Linked DNA regions of Sus scrofa. The protein of the gene in region 1 interacts with the protein of each later gene in a pairwise test. Links are inferred from orthologs where the notes say so. Each region holds a gene or a part of one and is shown in the gene's direction. Other genes may lie near its edges.

Region 1 (7,034 bases):
TAGAAGTGCTTGATCATATGGTAATTCTGTTTAATTTTTTGAGGAACCGCCATATCGTTTTCCACAGTGGCTGCAGAATTTCTTTCCTAAGCCCCTGACTTCTTTTGATTTCCTTATTTTCTCCTTTTCCAAGCACCCAGCAATGACATTCTCCTGTACTTGCTAAGAGCTCCCTAAGAGAAAGTGTCTATCCGTGTTCCCATTGTAGCTCAGTGGGTTAAGAGCTTGACTAGTACCCTTGGGGACGCAGGTTCGATCCCTGGCCTCCCTCAGTGGGTTAAGTATCCAGGTTTGCCACGAGCTGCACATAGGGCTTGGATCTGGCATTGCTCTGGCTGTGGTGCAGGCCAGCAGCTGCAGCTCTGATTGGACCCCTGGCCCAGGAACTTCCATATGCCACGGGTGCAGGCATTAAAAAAAGGAAAAATGTCCATCCTTCTCTTCCATAATTCTCAGATGTTAAAGCTGAGTTGACTGTTTGCAGCAACATGAATGGACTTAAAGGCATTATGCTAAGTGAAATAAGTCAGACAGAGAAAGATAAATATTGTGTGATCTTACTTATATGAGAAACCTAAAAACAAAACTCATAGGAAAAGAGATCAGACCTGTGGTTGCCAGAGGTGGAGGGTGGGGGAAGGGAAAATTGGATGAAGGCAGACAAAAGGTACAAACTTGCAGTTGTAGATAATGACTTGGGATGTATTGTATAACATGACTACAGCTAACACCACAGTGTGATAGGCAGGAAAATTGTTGAGAATAAATCCTAAGTGCTCTCATCACAAGGAGAAAAAATTTTTTCTTTTTTCTTTTTCTTTTTTTTTTTATTATTATCTATATGAGAAGGAGGATGTCAGCTGAACCTACTGTGGTCGTCATTTCACAGTATATTTAGTTCTCATTGTGGTGCAGCGGAAACAAATCTGACTAGTATCCATGAGGATGCAGGTTCGATCCCTGGCCTTGCTCAGTGAGTCTGGGATCCGGTGTTGCCATGAGCTGTGTTGTAGGTTGCAGACGCAGCCTGGATCTTGCATTTCTGTGGCTGTGGCATAGGCCAGCAGCTGTAGCTCCAATTCAGCCCCTAGCCTGGGAACCTCCATATGCTGTGAGTGTGGCCCTAAGAAGCACAATGTATTTAAATCAAACCATCATGCTGTACACCTTATTATTATTGTTATTTTGGCTTTTTAGGGCCACACCTGAGGCATATGGAAGTTCCCAGGCTAGGGGTCGAATTGGAGCTACTGCTGCCAACTTACAACACAGCCACAGCAACACAGGATCTGTGCCGAGTCTGAGACCTACACCACAGCTCACAGCAATGTTGGATCCTTTAACCACTGGATCAAACCTGCATCCTCGTGGATACCAGTCAGCTTCATTTCCACTGAGCCACAACGGGAACTTAAACTTAGTGATATATGGCAGTTATATTTCAATAAATCTGGAAAAGTGTAGATATAAATTTATAAGTGATATATATATAAATGATATATAATAAAAATTAGTATAATTATCAATATAATAAAAAGAAGCTGAGATGGTCTTTAGGGCTCATCTAACCAAACTTGACTATTTTTTTTTTTTTTTTTTTTTTTTTTTTTTTTTTTTTTTTTGTTGTTGTTTTTTTGCTCATATGAGTTCAGTAGGTCAATCGAGCTGTAACGCTACGCAGACACAGCAACGCGGATCGACCGCGTCTGAACTACCATAGCACGGCACGCAGATCGTTAACCATGCCAACAAAAGATCGGAAAAACTGGACGGGACCTATCAGAGGACTGATGAGAGGCAGCTGGTTGTTGGTTGCACCGCAAAAGCCTGGGTCTAGCTCTTGGGACTGCCAGGCCCCGTGTCCTTTTGGGACTCCACTCTTTCATGAATCCACAGCTCAGTTGCCAGGTGAATACAGGTGCCATGGGTGTCCCTGTTTATGGGTCTTCCTCGGAGTGGAGCAGAGGATGCCTGGGACCCTAGGGTGGGGGGCAGGGAGAGGGGGAACCCAGACCAAGGGCCTAGGAGGAAAATGAGCTTTTCAGAGTGGCCCTTCTCTTGCCCAGGAGAAACCGCCCTACAACCTCAGGGCCTTCAACCTTCGCATCAGCTTCCCGGAGGAGTACCCATTCAAGCCCCCGACGGTGACGTTTACAACTAGGATCTACCACCCCAACGTGGACAGCGAAGGCCAGGTGTGTCTGCCCATCATCAGCAACGAGAACTGGAAGCCCTGCACCAAGACCTGCCAAGGTGGGCTGGGCCCTGCCAGAGGAAGGGACCCATGCTGGATGGGGTCAGAGGACCGCTTTTGAGTTAGAATAGCCCAGAAGGGAGGAGATAAAAATTGTGAGTCTAGGCGTTCCCATCGTGGCTCAGTGGTTAACGAACCCAACTAGTATCCAGGAGGACTCAGGTTTGATCTCTGGCCTTGCTCAGTGGGTTAAGGATCCGGTGTGGCTGTGGCTGTGGCGTAGACTGGCAGCTGTAGCTCTGATCAGATCCCTAGCCTGGGAACCTCTATATGTTGTAGGCACGGCTGTAAAAAGACAAAAAAAAAAAAAAAAAATTTGTGCATCTCAGCTGAGCCTGTTGTCAGAAAGCAGGGATGCATTCTGAGATCCTGAGCTGGCTGACCTGCTCCTGACTCTGTTCTCATACCTGGGCAGGTGCGCAGAGCAGTGTTGCTGAGGGAAGGAGCTGGGCTGTAGCAGGTAGGGCTTGGGATAAGTAAGGCCACCCAGGGACCTTGGTGTAGTCTCTGTTATTTCCAGGGTTCAGTGCCCTACATGACAGCTGAGGGGATTGGCCTAATAATGCTAATACACATGACTTAATTAAACATTTTTGGCACTGTGCTGAGAGCTTTGCATGCTTTTTTTTTTTTTTTTTTTTTTGCTGCATTTGCAGCATATGGAAGTTCCTAGGCCAAGGACTAAACCCGAGCCACGGCAGCAGCCAAAACTGCTGCAGTGAAAACACCAGATTCTTAACCTACTGAACCAGAAGAGAACCCCACAAATGTCATTTTTTAAAAATTCACTTTCAGTGGCGTTCACTGGTGGCTCCGTGGGTTAAGGATCTGGCATTGTCACTGCTGTGGCTCCGGTTGCTGCTGTGGGGCAGGTTCAGTCCCGGGCCTAGGAACTTCCCCGTACCTGGGGCATGGCCAAAAAAAAATTCACTTTTTTAAAGATTGAAATATAATGTATTTACAGTGGTGTGTTAGTTTTATAGTAGTTTGTATCTGCTAATCCCATCTCCTGATTTATCCCTCTCTTCCCCTTTCCCCTTTAGTAACCACAAGTTTGTTTTCTATGTCCGTGAATCTGTTTCTGTTTTGTGAACAAGTTCATTTGTATCATATTTTAGATTCCACATACAAGGGATATCATATTTGTCTTTGTCTGACTTAACTCACTTAGTATGACCATCTCTAGGTCCAGCCATTTTGCTGCAAATGACATTATTTTGTTCTTTTTTACGGCTGAGTAATATTCTGTTGTGTGTATGTATGTGTGTATACACACACCACATCTTTATCCTTTGATCTGTCGATGGACATTTAGGTTGCTTCCACATCTTACCTATTGTAAAAAGTGCTGCTATGGGAGCTCCCTTCATGGCTCAGTGGTTAAAGAACTCGACTAGGATCCATGAGGTTGCGGGTTCGATCCCTGGCCTTGCTCAGTGGGTTAAGGATCCCATGTTGCCATGAGCTGTGGTGTAGCTCGCAGACATGGCTCAGATGCTGTGTTGCTATGGCTGTGGCGTAGGCTGGCAGCTGTAGCTCCCGTTCAACCCATAGCCGGGAACTTCCATATGCCATAGGTATGGCCCTCAAAAGACAAAACAAAAACCAAAAAGGAAAACAAAAACGGGAGAGCAGAGTAGTTCTTGTTGAAAGGGATAGAACTCAGAAACTCCATTTTTCTCCCCGTGATGAGAAGCTTCTGTGACACGATGAATCAGAGTTAGAAAACTGCTGATGTAACCAGGAAGGGCTTTGGGCATCATCAGCGAAGATGGTGAGGGGCCTTGGATGCGGTTGTAGAGCCATCCTGCGACATGGACCCTCCTGCGGGGGTGGGGTGGGGGTCCCCCCCACAGAGTGAGCGTGGCATTTTGGCGGCGGGGGTGGGGGAGGGAGGGAACCACCACCTTCTTCCCAGGATTTTTACTTTCCGTCCTGATGTCGGGATCTGACCTCTCTCCACAGTCCTGGAGGCCCTCAACGTGCTGGTGAATAGACCAGAGCCAGGGCAGCCCCTTCGGGTGGAGCTCGCCGACCAGCTGACCCAGGACCCGGAGCTGTTCAACAGGAAGGCCGAAGAGTTCACCCTCCAGTTCGGAGTGGACCGGCCCTCCTAACTCTGCCCGTGACCCGTCTCTGCACCAGATCCTCTCTGCGTGATGGACGGACATACCGCACGGATGGGGAGCCAGAGCCCCTTTGTGATCCTGCTCACTTCTTCCAAGTTTTCCCTTGTAGGCTGTTAGTCATTAGTGTGTGTGTGTGCGTGTGTGTCCGTGTGTGAACGCGCAGGTGTGTGTATGGGGGGGGGTACAGATGTTTGTGGTATGTGGACCCAGGGCCCACAGGTGCGCTTGTCCCACTCCCTTTTTCTGCTCCAGAGCCAGGGACATCGAGGTTTGCAGAGTCACAGGCCAGCTCTTCTGGACTCTGTGAGATGGGATTCCTGGTTTCGCTAGTTGGTCCATCGTAGAGACTCAGGCCACCTTCCAAGCCAGCTTGTGGGCAGTGAGCCCAGCAGCTGACCGGAATCCCGCGCCATGGTCCAGGCACGGGGTGGAGGGGTGGTGGGGTGTATGGGTAGGAGGCAGGTCCTAGGGTGGGGATCCTTTTCACAATGGATCATTTTGTTGATTGAGTGAATGAGATCAGCCAGACCGCTGATAGGTACACATAGATTTAGGTGCAAAACCTTTTCTCTTCCACTGATGAAACATAAAGTGAAAAATCTAATCTCAGAGTTTCCTCATGGCCCAGTGGGTTCAGGATCTGACATTGTCACTGCAGTGGCTTGGGTTGCTGCTGTGGCACGGGTTCGATCCCCGGCCCAGAAACGTCCACATGCCTACATGGTTTCAAAACCACTTGCTGTCCCATTAGGTTGCTGGTTCCTGGGGACCAGGCTTTAAGCAGAGAGAGGTCTCCCCTCCAGCTTCCAGTCCAGGGGGGAGCCACGGCGACCATGTGCTTGCCCAGCCATTAAAGTCACAGATGAACTGTGGACTCCAGCTGATTGTTCATTGAAGAATGGGGGTTCATTGGGAGAAGAGGAGGCGGGGATTTAGCTGCAGTATTTTTTTTTTTTTTTAGGGCCATGGGTGTAGCATATGGAAGTTCCCAGTCTTGGGATTGAAACAGAACTACAGCCACCAGCTTCCGTAAGTACACTGAAGCTCACGGCAATGCTAGATCCTTAACCCACTGAGCTAAGCCAGGGATTGAACCCTTGTCCTTATGGACACTAGTCGGGTTTGTTACCACTGAGCCACTCCTAGCTGCAGTCTCATAAAAGATGTGACCTTGCTTCCATTTATGTTTGGCTCTGGTAACCCCAAGCCTTGTGGGGAAAGCTGGCCATGAGGGACCAGGCCACCCTCGGCCGGAGGGGTCATCAACATGTCCGCAATAGTAACATCCCCATTTTATGGGTGAAACAACCAAGGCACAGCTTCAGAGGGTTGCCAGGTCCACGCCGCCAGTCAAGGCAGAGGGCACACCTCTGGCCACAGTGCCACGCTGGCTGGTTTCTGTGTCTGTGATCTTCGTGAGCTGTTCTCACCAGCCCACGTGCTGCCGAGTGGCTGATAGAGCCAGGAAGGCTTGTTAGCAGGAAGTTGTAACTCAGCTCTCAGTTATAAGGAGCAGTGGAAAAACACAAGCCAAAACTTCAGCCAGAGTAGGAGGGATTATCTTAACTCGAAGGAAGAAGTTTCTGGGTGCAATGGTTCTAAGCTCCTGGATAATCACTGGCTTTTAAGAGACAGAATATAGGGTATCACTGAATCAAGGGAATCGCCCCAGGCCCCACTAGCCTAATATGGGAGACGTTTCTAGAGAATCTTCTACTCTGGCCCTTGCCCTCGGATTCCGTAACCTGACAGAAGTGTGGACAGAAGCAAAAGCATTGGGAAAGTACCACTCGTGGCTGGAAATGTAAGATGTGTTGTTACTTTGGGCCACCACTTACAAAACACTTAGGTGACAGGCCCTAGGTGAGGCTTTTTGTCCTCTTGCAGGTCTCATTCAACCCACACAGCTCCTCCATGAGTTTGAACTCCTGTTATTCCTCTTTAGACAGTAAACTGAGGCTCAGAGAGGTTAACTCACTGACCCAGGGACACACAGCTAGTGAGTGGTGGGACCCAGGCTGCTATCCTTTCCCAGATGCCCTTCATGGTTGTTGAGAAAATCATATCAAGTGATTTGATATGAAAATCAAGAAATCAGGAGTTCCCGTCATGGCTCAGTGGTTAATGAGCCCAGCTAGCATCCATGAGGACGTGGGTTCGATCCCTGGCCTTGCCCAGTGAGTTAAGGATCCGGTGTTGCCCTGAGCTGTGGTGTAGGTTGCAGATGCGGCTCGGATGCCGTGTGGCTGTGGCTGTGGCGTAGGCTGGCAGCTGTAGCTCTGATTCAACCCCTAGCCTGGGAACCTCTATATGCCACTGGTGAGGCCCTAAAAGACAAAAAAAGAAAAGAAAATCAAGAAATCATATGATTTAAGAAAATTCTATCAGGAGGCCTGAGTTTATGATCCCAGGTGAGAGAGGTTCCGGGAAGGGTAGGGAGGAAGCATTGAGGGGCCAGACAAGATTTTACAAAAGAACTTTTAATGTGGTTAAAACTGGTGCCATCTGCGCCTGCCTGAGCCCCAGCGCTGCTGCTACCTCCATGGAGCAGAAGTGAGCCTCTGATCAGCTGGGCGCTCTGCCTACCAGGTCGGCAGCCCCTCATTTCTTCTTGGTCTTCACCAGCCCCTTTTGCACGAGGCTGCGGTACA
Region 2 (8,104 bases), on another chromosome or scaffold:
AATGTCCCATCTTATAAACAGAGCTTTGATTTTAATCTAAAGTCCTCCCTCCTCCCACTGGGGACCTGGGGAGGCAGGAGGCCAGGAGGGAGGCTGCAGGGCCCTTTCTGAGCACTTCCTCCCCACCTGGAAGACTCTCCCGGGCAGGAGGGGACAGCTGCCAGGGAGGGTCCATCACCCCAGCTCGCATGCCTCACCGCACTACACTTGAGCTCTGTTTGGATGCCGACCTTGCCACGCTGCAGGTGTTTATTTACATACCCAGGGCAGTGAGTGCTGGACCAGAAGGAGAGGGGTCTCTGGGCCTGCTGCCCTTCACAGCGTGCTTCTCAAAGGACAACCGTGTTTGAGCAAGAAAAGCACCCTTTTAAAGAGTCTTGGGCTTTTTGATAAGTAGGGCTTCTGGGCACCTGCTTCATTAATCTATTATGCATATCTCTCTGGGAAATGGGAGTTAGATGAGTTTCTTCTCCTGTGCCAGAAAATACACTGCTTGCCTTGTTTAAAAATAGATTCTATGCAAATATGCACTTATATAAATATTAGGGACAATATTTATGTATCATAACAGGTAAGATATAATGTATCTCATACATCATGTAAGCTATATGTGTGATAGAATAATAGGTAGGTAGATAGACATAGATACATATGTATTTTTACATCCTGGAAACAAAAACTCTGATGTTGCCTTGTGTGGATTTTCTTATTGCTGGAGTCCCGTCTTGTGCCCCAGCTGGCAGAGTTCAGCAGTGAGAATGATGATGCAGGTGTTACTAGACGCCCGAGGGAGGAGCCCGGGCTGTGCTCACAGGAGGGGCACACGTGCCAGCAGCCAGGGAAGAGTTCTGAGCTGGCAGATGGATGGGGCGGGCCGTTTGCCCCCCGATTCTCCCACAGGGACTCTCCCACGGAGATGGGTGGTGCTGTGTCACAGCTCCTCAAGGACAGAAGTCACACAATTTAAGTCATTACCATGGAAACCCTAACTAGGTCTCCACTGCCGTGTGCTGCAGAACTTAATTGGGCCTTTCATGAAAAGGCAGCTCAGTCACTACACACGCTCTTGTTCCTGTTCTGAGAGGAGTGGTGGGGAGGTGACGCTTGGGCGCTTGCCCCGAGATGCAGGTAGAAAGCTGGTCCCCTGATGAGGTCACAGAAGAAGGAGAGCAGGAGGAACTGGAAGGATCTCAGTTGGACAGCACTGTCCCTTCGGTGTTCTGGTGGACCATCACTCCACGCCTTGTCAGGTCGGCAGTGAAACACCCAGCCGAGGAGGTAGCTGCACCTGTCCGCCCATGTTTGCACGCCCAGCGCCCACACTCTGCAGCACGGTCCTCGGATGCCGTGCACAACGGGGCCCTGAGACGTGGTTGAGGCAGAGCCCTGCTCACATCCGCACAGGTGGGAGGCAGAGCTGATAGAGAAATTCCAGAGCTGGTGGGGGGATGGGGGTGGGGCAGGAGTGTGACTCAGATGGGGGAAGGGGAGCACTACCAGGTAGAAGGTGCGGAACCCTGCCAGAGGCCTTTGCCGTTTCCTCCCAGGGCATACTTCTTCCGCCCCCTGGAAGCACCCCTGCCCTGGGCCACCCCCTCACCCCTCCCTCCCTTGCCTTTTCCTGCTTCTCAGCCCAGGGAGCTACAGGCAGCTGCCCCCACACGTGTGCCCAGGAGGCAACAGCTGCCTTTTCCCACAAAACCACCTCCTCGGATCTGACAGCCAGAAACAGTCTTAGAAAAGCAAACACTCAGCTCAGCTCATGACAAGAGCTAATTTTACCCCTCCACTCACCATGAGGCGCACCAGGAGGCCTTTACATCATTACAGTGAAAAGCAATTAAAAAGTGTCACATTTCCCTGATTGCCAGAGTTCCTTTGTATTATCAAGACTTCTAAAACTTCTGCCAGACCCACCCATTGGATAGCTTTATACTGTTGATTAATACACCTTAAAAAGAGAAAAAAAGGTCAGGAATCAGCCAACCATGGCCAGTGGACCAGATCAGCTCGGCCCCCATCCTGGCGTTGTGAATAAAGCTTTATTAGAACACTCCGTCACGAGTCAGCATGGCTGCCTCTGCGCTGCCACAGTGGAGCTGAGTCGCTGGATGGAAAACCGCTGGCCCTCAAAGACTGACACTCCCTGTCAGCCCTGGGATTGGAGGAGGAGGAGTTTTTAGTCAGGTTGCACCTGACATGAGTTCCTTCATCGAGGGCAGAATCTGACTTCTGCATTTGATGGGGAACGTGGCAAACTCAGGTGTGGCCTGTCCGCAGCCCCTGACAGCCTTGGCCGGTTGAAGGTCCCAGTGCTTGCAGTTCTGACGTGGGTAAAGCTTCCCACTCCAGTGATGGCTGCTCACGTGGCCGAGACACCTGCAGGGCCGTTCCTCGTCTCCCAGTTCCCAGCACAAGGCAGTGGATTCCTTCTCAAGGGCAACCCTGCTGAACAGTTCGGGCCTCAGGGGCTCACTTGGACCCTGTGATCCTTTGGCCTCCCCGGAGTTTGGGCCTTGCATCAGCATCCACGTGGCTTCCTGTCCATTGCCTGTAGTTGAGGGTCCAGTCATACTGGACAAAGGGTCCAGGGCACGAGGAACCAGGCTCCCAGGAAGGGCAGCTCGGGACCATCATTTAAAGAGATGCGAGAAGTGAATGCAGATACGAAGGAATGGGAATGTCAGGCCCTCCTCTTTCTCAAAGTAAACGGACTGACGACTTCATTAAATCAGGCTTCTTGTGCTGCGGGCCCACTTTGGAGGAAGAGCTGCTGCTGGAGCGTGAATGCGCAGGTCTCACCTCAGTGCTTTGACTTAAACTTGGCGGGAGGCAGTCACAGGCGGATGAGGCCTTTGATGAGAGGAAGAGGCGGCCACCTGCCTTCTCTCTTTTCTTTCCATCCTTAGTGGGCATTTTGGGGTGCCGACTGTGCTGCTCACTGGGCCAGGCTGTGAGGCTATGAGCCTGAGGCTGGAGCCTGGCTGGTGGAAGCCGTGTCCTGGGCAGGCGGGCAGGGACGCCAGAGGCACGGCCTGGACCTTGAGGCTTCCAGGATATAGGGGTTCTTGAGGATCGGGGGTGGGGTGGGGATCTGCTGCCCCCCAGTGTGAGTGGGGTGGGGGTAGGGTGTGGCTGGAGAGGGGAGAAAGCCAGACAGGCCCTGGATGGTGAAGGGCGTGTTATGTCTGACCTTGACATTCTCCACACGCTGATGTGACCTTCCGTCCAAAGTTCTGCCAGATCCTTGGTCCTGCGGACTGACGCACCCATTTTTTTTTCCCCCCTGTGCCAGAGGTGCTCCTGGACCCCTGTCGGACTTGGTGCCCGGCGTCCACCTGCCAGGCTGTGTGCCAGCTCCAGGAGATGGGGCTACAGACGCCACAGCTGGTGCAGTGCAAAGCCTGCGACACGGAATTCTGCTCGGCCTGCAAAGCCAGCTGGCACCCTGGCCAAGGCTGCCCAGAGACCATGCCCATCACCTTCCTTCCTGGGGAGACCAGGTACGCTCAGGACACAGGCGGCCAAGTGGGCATGGCCCGAGGGCTGGAGGTGGAAGCAGGCTCCTCCCCAAAGGTGCCTCAGGGAGGCCCGGGCTGTGCTGGCCAGTTTCCATGATGCTTTTCTCTTGGGTCTCATGCAGACCTGGGGCTGGGTGGTTTTGTTTTATTTTTTATTTTATTTTATATTTTATTTGTTTCATTGCCACACCCATGGTATACAGAAATTCCCGGATCAGGGATCAAATCTGAGGTGCAGCTTTGACTTGAACCTCAGCTGGGGCAACCCCAGATCCTTTAACCCACTAAACTGGGCAGGGTACAGAACCTGCACCTCCACAGAGACCTGAACCACTGCAGTCAGATTTTAAACCCACTCTCCCACAGCAGGAACGCCTGTTTATTATTGATATTGGAAAGCTGATTATGTACCAGGCACTGTGCGAGGCCCTGAAACTATAAAGATGCGTAAGTTAACAAAGTTCAATCTGCCTGTCCGGAAAGAGAGACATGTGATCAGTTACCCTGCAGGGCTGTGAGCCCTCTGATCCATGAAATTTTCCCCAAGATGACCAGAAACCAGGGTGCCGGACAGGGAGCAGAGGAGGGGCGGCAGTTAGAAATACCAGAAGGATCACCAGAAACCAGCTCTGGGGCCTGAGGCCTAGGCGGCCACTTCTGGAAACGGGGGGCCAGTCAGGAAGGACATGTAAATCAGCACATTGGTCCTGTCCCCTGGCGGGTCCCTTGTCTGGATGCCCAGGAGGCCACCTCAGCATCCTTGGGTGTACCTTGAGATTTTGTAGGTTGAACCGTAAGAAATTGGTAATACTCAGCTTTTTGTCCTACAGTATCTGCAGTGGTGTCTGGTTCAGTTAGTTAGAGGCAGGGGCCCAGCGCCAGATGAGGCCACATTCCTGACTGAGTCACTCCCGCCATCGGCCACAGGTGTCACCAGCTGCAGCCTGTCTTGCTCTGCTGCCCCCACCCCCTCCCTGCAGCTCGGCCTGCACAGGGACCCTCTGGGCGACCCCGGGTCACATTCCTGTGGCCTCCTGTCTGCACCTGTGTGCCTGTGCCTGGAACAACCCTTCCCTGCCCCCCTGTTTTCCCAGAAACTCCTTGTCACCCTTGGCAACATTGCTGTCATCCCCTCCTTTGTCGAGTCCCGGTTCCCAAGGCAGGGTTGGGGGCCCACCCTCTGTGTCCTGCAGGAGAGCTTTTGCCTTGGTGACAACACAGCCTTGCTGGGTGTTAGTCCATCTCTTTGTGTGACTGGATCCTCCAGCCGGCCGAGCTCCTGCCTTAGTTGTTACCCCAGCCTTGGCATACAGCAGGTGCTCAAATGCTAGAAAGATGACTTGACTTACAGTTGGGCTCTGGATCCACTTACAGTTGGGGGTGAGGGGCTGGATTTCCAGGCTGGCAAAGAAGCACACAGAGGGCAGGCGGGGGAAGTGCCCCGGGGGGAAGTGCCCCTGTGAAGCCAGCAGGTGACTGTTTAAGAGAAGAGAAGCCCCCCATTTAGTGAGTGAGGGGGCTTCCGTTCTGGAAGCAGGGAGCCGAGGAGTCAGGAAGAGCCAGTGTCCCACTCCTGTGGGATGGAGGAGGGACGCTTAAAATCATAAAACCTTCCTAGGATGCAGGGGGTGGCTGTTGGGAGCCTGATTCTTTGTGTTTCTTCATCCCCCATGCGCTGGTCTCATGTAGGTCACTGCCCGAGGGCCACAGTCACGTCACAATGTCATGCTGTATGTGAGTAGTAAGTCCCTCGTGACACACCTTACAAAGAATAGGAACCAACAAAATGAAAAAAATGAGGCTGTGCAACCTAAAAAAAAAAAAAAAAAGGGACACAAGGGCAATTTAAATAAGAATTCACAAATCTCTTTTTGTAGAAATTGAAAACCTAAAGATTTCTTATAAAAATCTGAATTTCTGGCTTATCCAGCCACATAGAATGGCATTCCCACTTGGAGACAGTCAGCTGAGCTGAGCAGCAGCCCCCTCTTTACAAGGGGTTTCTGGAATCTTTACTTGGCCACAGTCCTCACCACTCCCCCTTGTCTCCCTAGTCCCTAGGCTGACCATCAGGTATCATTTATAACGGAGCGCACCCTTGGTTATTTTTGAGTGTAATTTTTTCCCTTTTGATTAACTCTCCCTTTATCCCCCATTCCCACCCACCACCTGACAAGTTTCATTCATGTTGTATGTTCTTCCTTAAAGACATCAGCGCATGTAGAGTGTGATGAAACTGTCCGGACTCCTCCCTGCCTTCACAAATTTGAGTTCATAGTTAGAGCTGTTGCTAGTAATCATTTGGAATGTAATTCAGGTTCCAGAAACTGTTTGAACATCAGCGACACTACCATGTAAATTTCACACCTTAGTGCCCTAGAACATTCATAATTTAACTATTTCTCCTCGGAAAGCACCCTGAAAGGGACTCCCCATACTCCATGCATATTCCTTCCAATCAGGGCTTTTTCTTCAAAATTATCTTATGAGTGGAGTTCCTGTTGTGGCTCAGTGGGTTATGAACCTGACTAGCATCCATGAGGATGCGGGTTCGATCCCTAGCCTTGCTGAGTGGGTTAAGGATCCAGCATTGCCATGAGCTGAGGTGTCGGTTGCAGATTCGTCTCGGATCTGTGGCTGTGGCGTAGGCCGGCAGCTGCAGCTCAGATTTGATCCCTATCCTGGGAACCTCCAAGTGCTGCAGGTGTGGCTCTAAAAAGAAAAAAAGGGTATATCTTATGAGCCACGTGAGAAAATCGGTTGCACTATTTTAAGGGCATATTTGGCTTTCAAACTGAAATGTTATCCAACCTGAGAGTCAACCTTGATCTGGGCACTGGATGCCTCGTGACTTTGGGCGCTTGCTAAACATCAAGCTCATTCCAGGGGGGCAGCTGGCATCTCCTCCAGTCTCTGGAAGCGTTTGCACATGTTGTGACAACCCAGGTTCCTTGTAGATCACGTTCTGGGCAGCCAGGTTGGTCTGCAGTTTGCTGTTAAATTAGAGACAGATTTGAGCTGGAGACCGTTTTATTGCATTTCAGTAACGGTATTACTGACAACCACCATTTATTGAGTGATTGCTAGAGATGTGCTGGTTTCTGTGTGCTCAGTACACGAAAGCTTTTTTCATCTCCATCACCCCCTCTGATGTGGATGCAGTTTGCCTCATGTCCGAGGGCAAAGAGACTGATGAGACACACGTAGCACTGCCAGGCCTTGTGTGCCTGTCTCCAGACCCGCTAACTCCAAGGCCATGCTTCTTCCTTCCGGTGCTTCTTAACTGGTCTCCTTGTGCTGGTGAGCAAACGGGAAAATCCCAAGGGCATGATCCTGTGGAAGCTCAGGTTAGTGCAAAGTGAGGCTGTATTTAACCCTCACGTGCACTGTGATGCTTGTGGAAGAGCCAGAATGCACTCAAAATGCCAGCATTTGCTCAGTTTCGGTGAATGGGTATATGTGAACGCCTTAGGTTCTGAAAAAGCTCCTCGCCCCAAGGGAAGGTCATTTTTCTCCCAGTGATGTTGAGTAGACGCAGTGAGTTCACACAATATAGCAAACATGCCCCATCACCAGGGACGACCGCCCTTGGCCGCTTCTTCCAGAGGATTCCCTTCATTTTTTAGCTTCCTTTTTAAGATTAATAGCATGCGTGGAGTTCCCTGGTGGCTCAACAGGTTCAAGATCGGGCATTGCCGCTGCCACAGTGCAGGTTCGATCCCTGGCCTGGGAACTTGCAGCTATCACAGGCACAGCCAAAAAAATAAATAAAAACAAAAATAAAATGAGTAGCATGGGGTGGACATCTTTCTAGAGTCAAACCTAAAAGACCGCAGGTCATCCTTTGATGAGCAGTGGAGAATCATTGCTTTCATTTGTTGGGCACTTCGCACACACCGGGCATTGCCCTGTGCTCCTCATGCATAACCTGAACCATCAGGCTCACACGGACGGGGGACTGGGGCTCAGAGACCTTGCCACCCAGATGGTGTCAGAAGAGCCAGCTCTTGACCCCAGGCTTCAGTCCTGCCATGCTCGCCACTGCAGGGCCACCCAGACCAATCAGGAAAGTGACGCTGTACAGAGGAGCCAAGTAGATCTTCCTAAGCCGTTAGTGTGTGCGTGGGTGTATTTAATTTTTAAATTATAGTTGATTCACATTATTCTGTTGATTTCTGCTGTGCAGCAAAGTGACCCAGTCATATGTCTATACATAATGTCTCTCTCATATATCTCCAGCAGGTGATTGGATCGGGTTCCCTGCGCTATACATATAGCAGGACCTCATTGGTATCCATTCTAAATGGAACAGTTTGCGTCTATGAACCCCAAACTCCAAGCCCATCCCACTCCTCCCCTCCATAGCAACCACAAGTCTGTTCTCCATGTCTGAGTCTGTTTCTGTTCTGTAGACAGGTTCACGTGTGCCGTATTTTAGATTCCACATATAAGTGATATCATACGGTGTCTGTCTTTCTCTTTCTGATTTACTTTTCACTTAGTGTGAGAATCTCTAGTTCCATCAGTGTGTGTTTGTTTAACATTCCTTTTTTTTTTTCTGATAATAGCAAAGAGCACATAAT

What was found. The genes of interacting proteins can lie anywhere in the genome.
Region 2: the proteins of UBE2L6 (region 1) and RNF144A interact in a two-hybrid assay, tested with the Homo sapiens proteins (2 studies listed by BioGRID and IntAct). The link is inferred for Sus scrofa from reciprocal best matches to the Homo sapiens genes UBE2L6 and RNF144A.

The regions. Positions count from the first base shown.
Region 1 is NC_010444.4:13,364,076-13,371,109, forward strand, and holds the end of UBE2L6 (ubiquitin/ISG15-conjugating enzyme E2 L6), read left to right. Parts: intron 1-2,066; coding exon 2,067-2,253; intron 2,254-4,219; coding exon 4,220-4,371; downstream 4,372-7,034. Other genes in the region: SMTNL1 (smoothelin-like protein 1), read right to left, coding at 6,985-7,034. UniProt on the Homo sapiens protein: Catalyzes the covalent attachment of ubiquitin or ISG15 to other proteins. Functions in the E6/E6-AP-induced ubiquitination of p53/TP53. Promotes ubiquitination and subsequent proteasomal degradation of FLT3.
Region 2 is NC_010445.4:128,766,079-128,774,182, reverse strand, and holds part of RNF144A (E3 ubiquitin-protein ligase RNF144A), read left to right. Parts: intron 1-3,295; coding exon 3,296-3,503; intron 3,504-8,104. UniProt on the Homo sapiens protein: E3 ubiquitin-protein ligase which accepts ubiquitin from E2 ubiquitin-conjugating enzymes UBE2L3 and UBE2L6 in the form of a thioester and then directly transfers the ubiquitin to targeted substrates.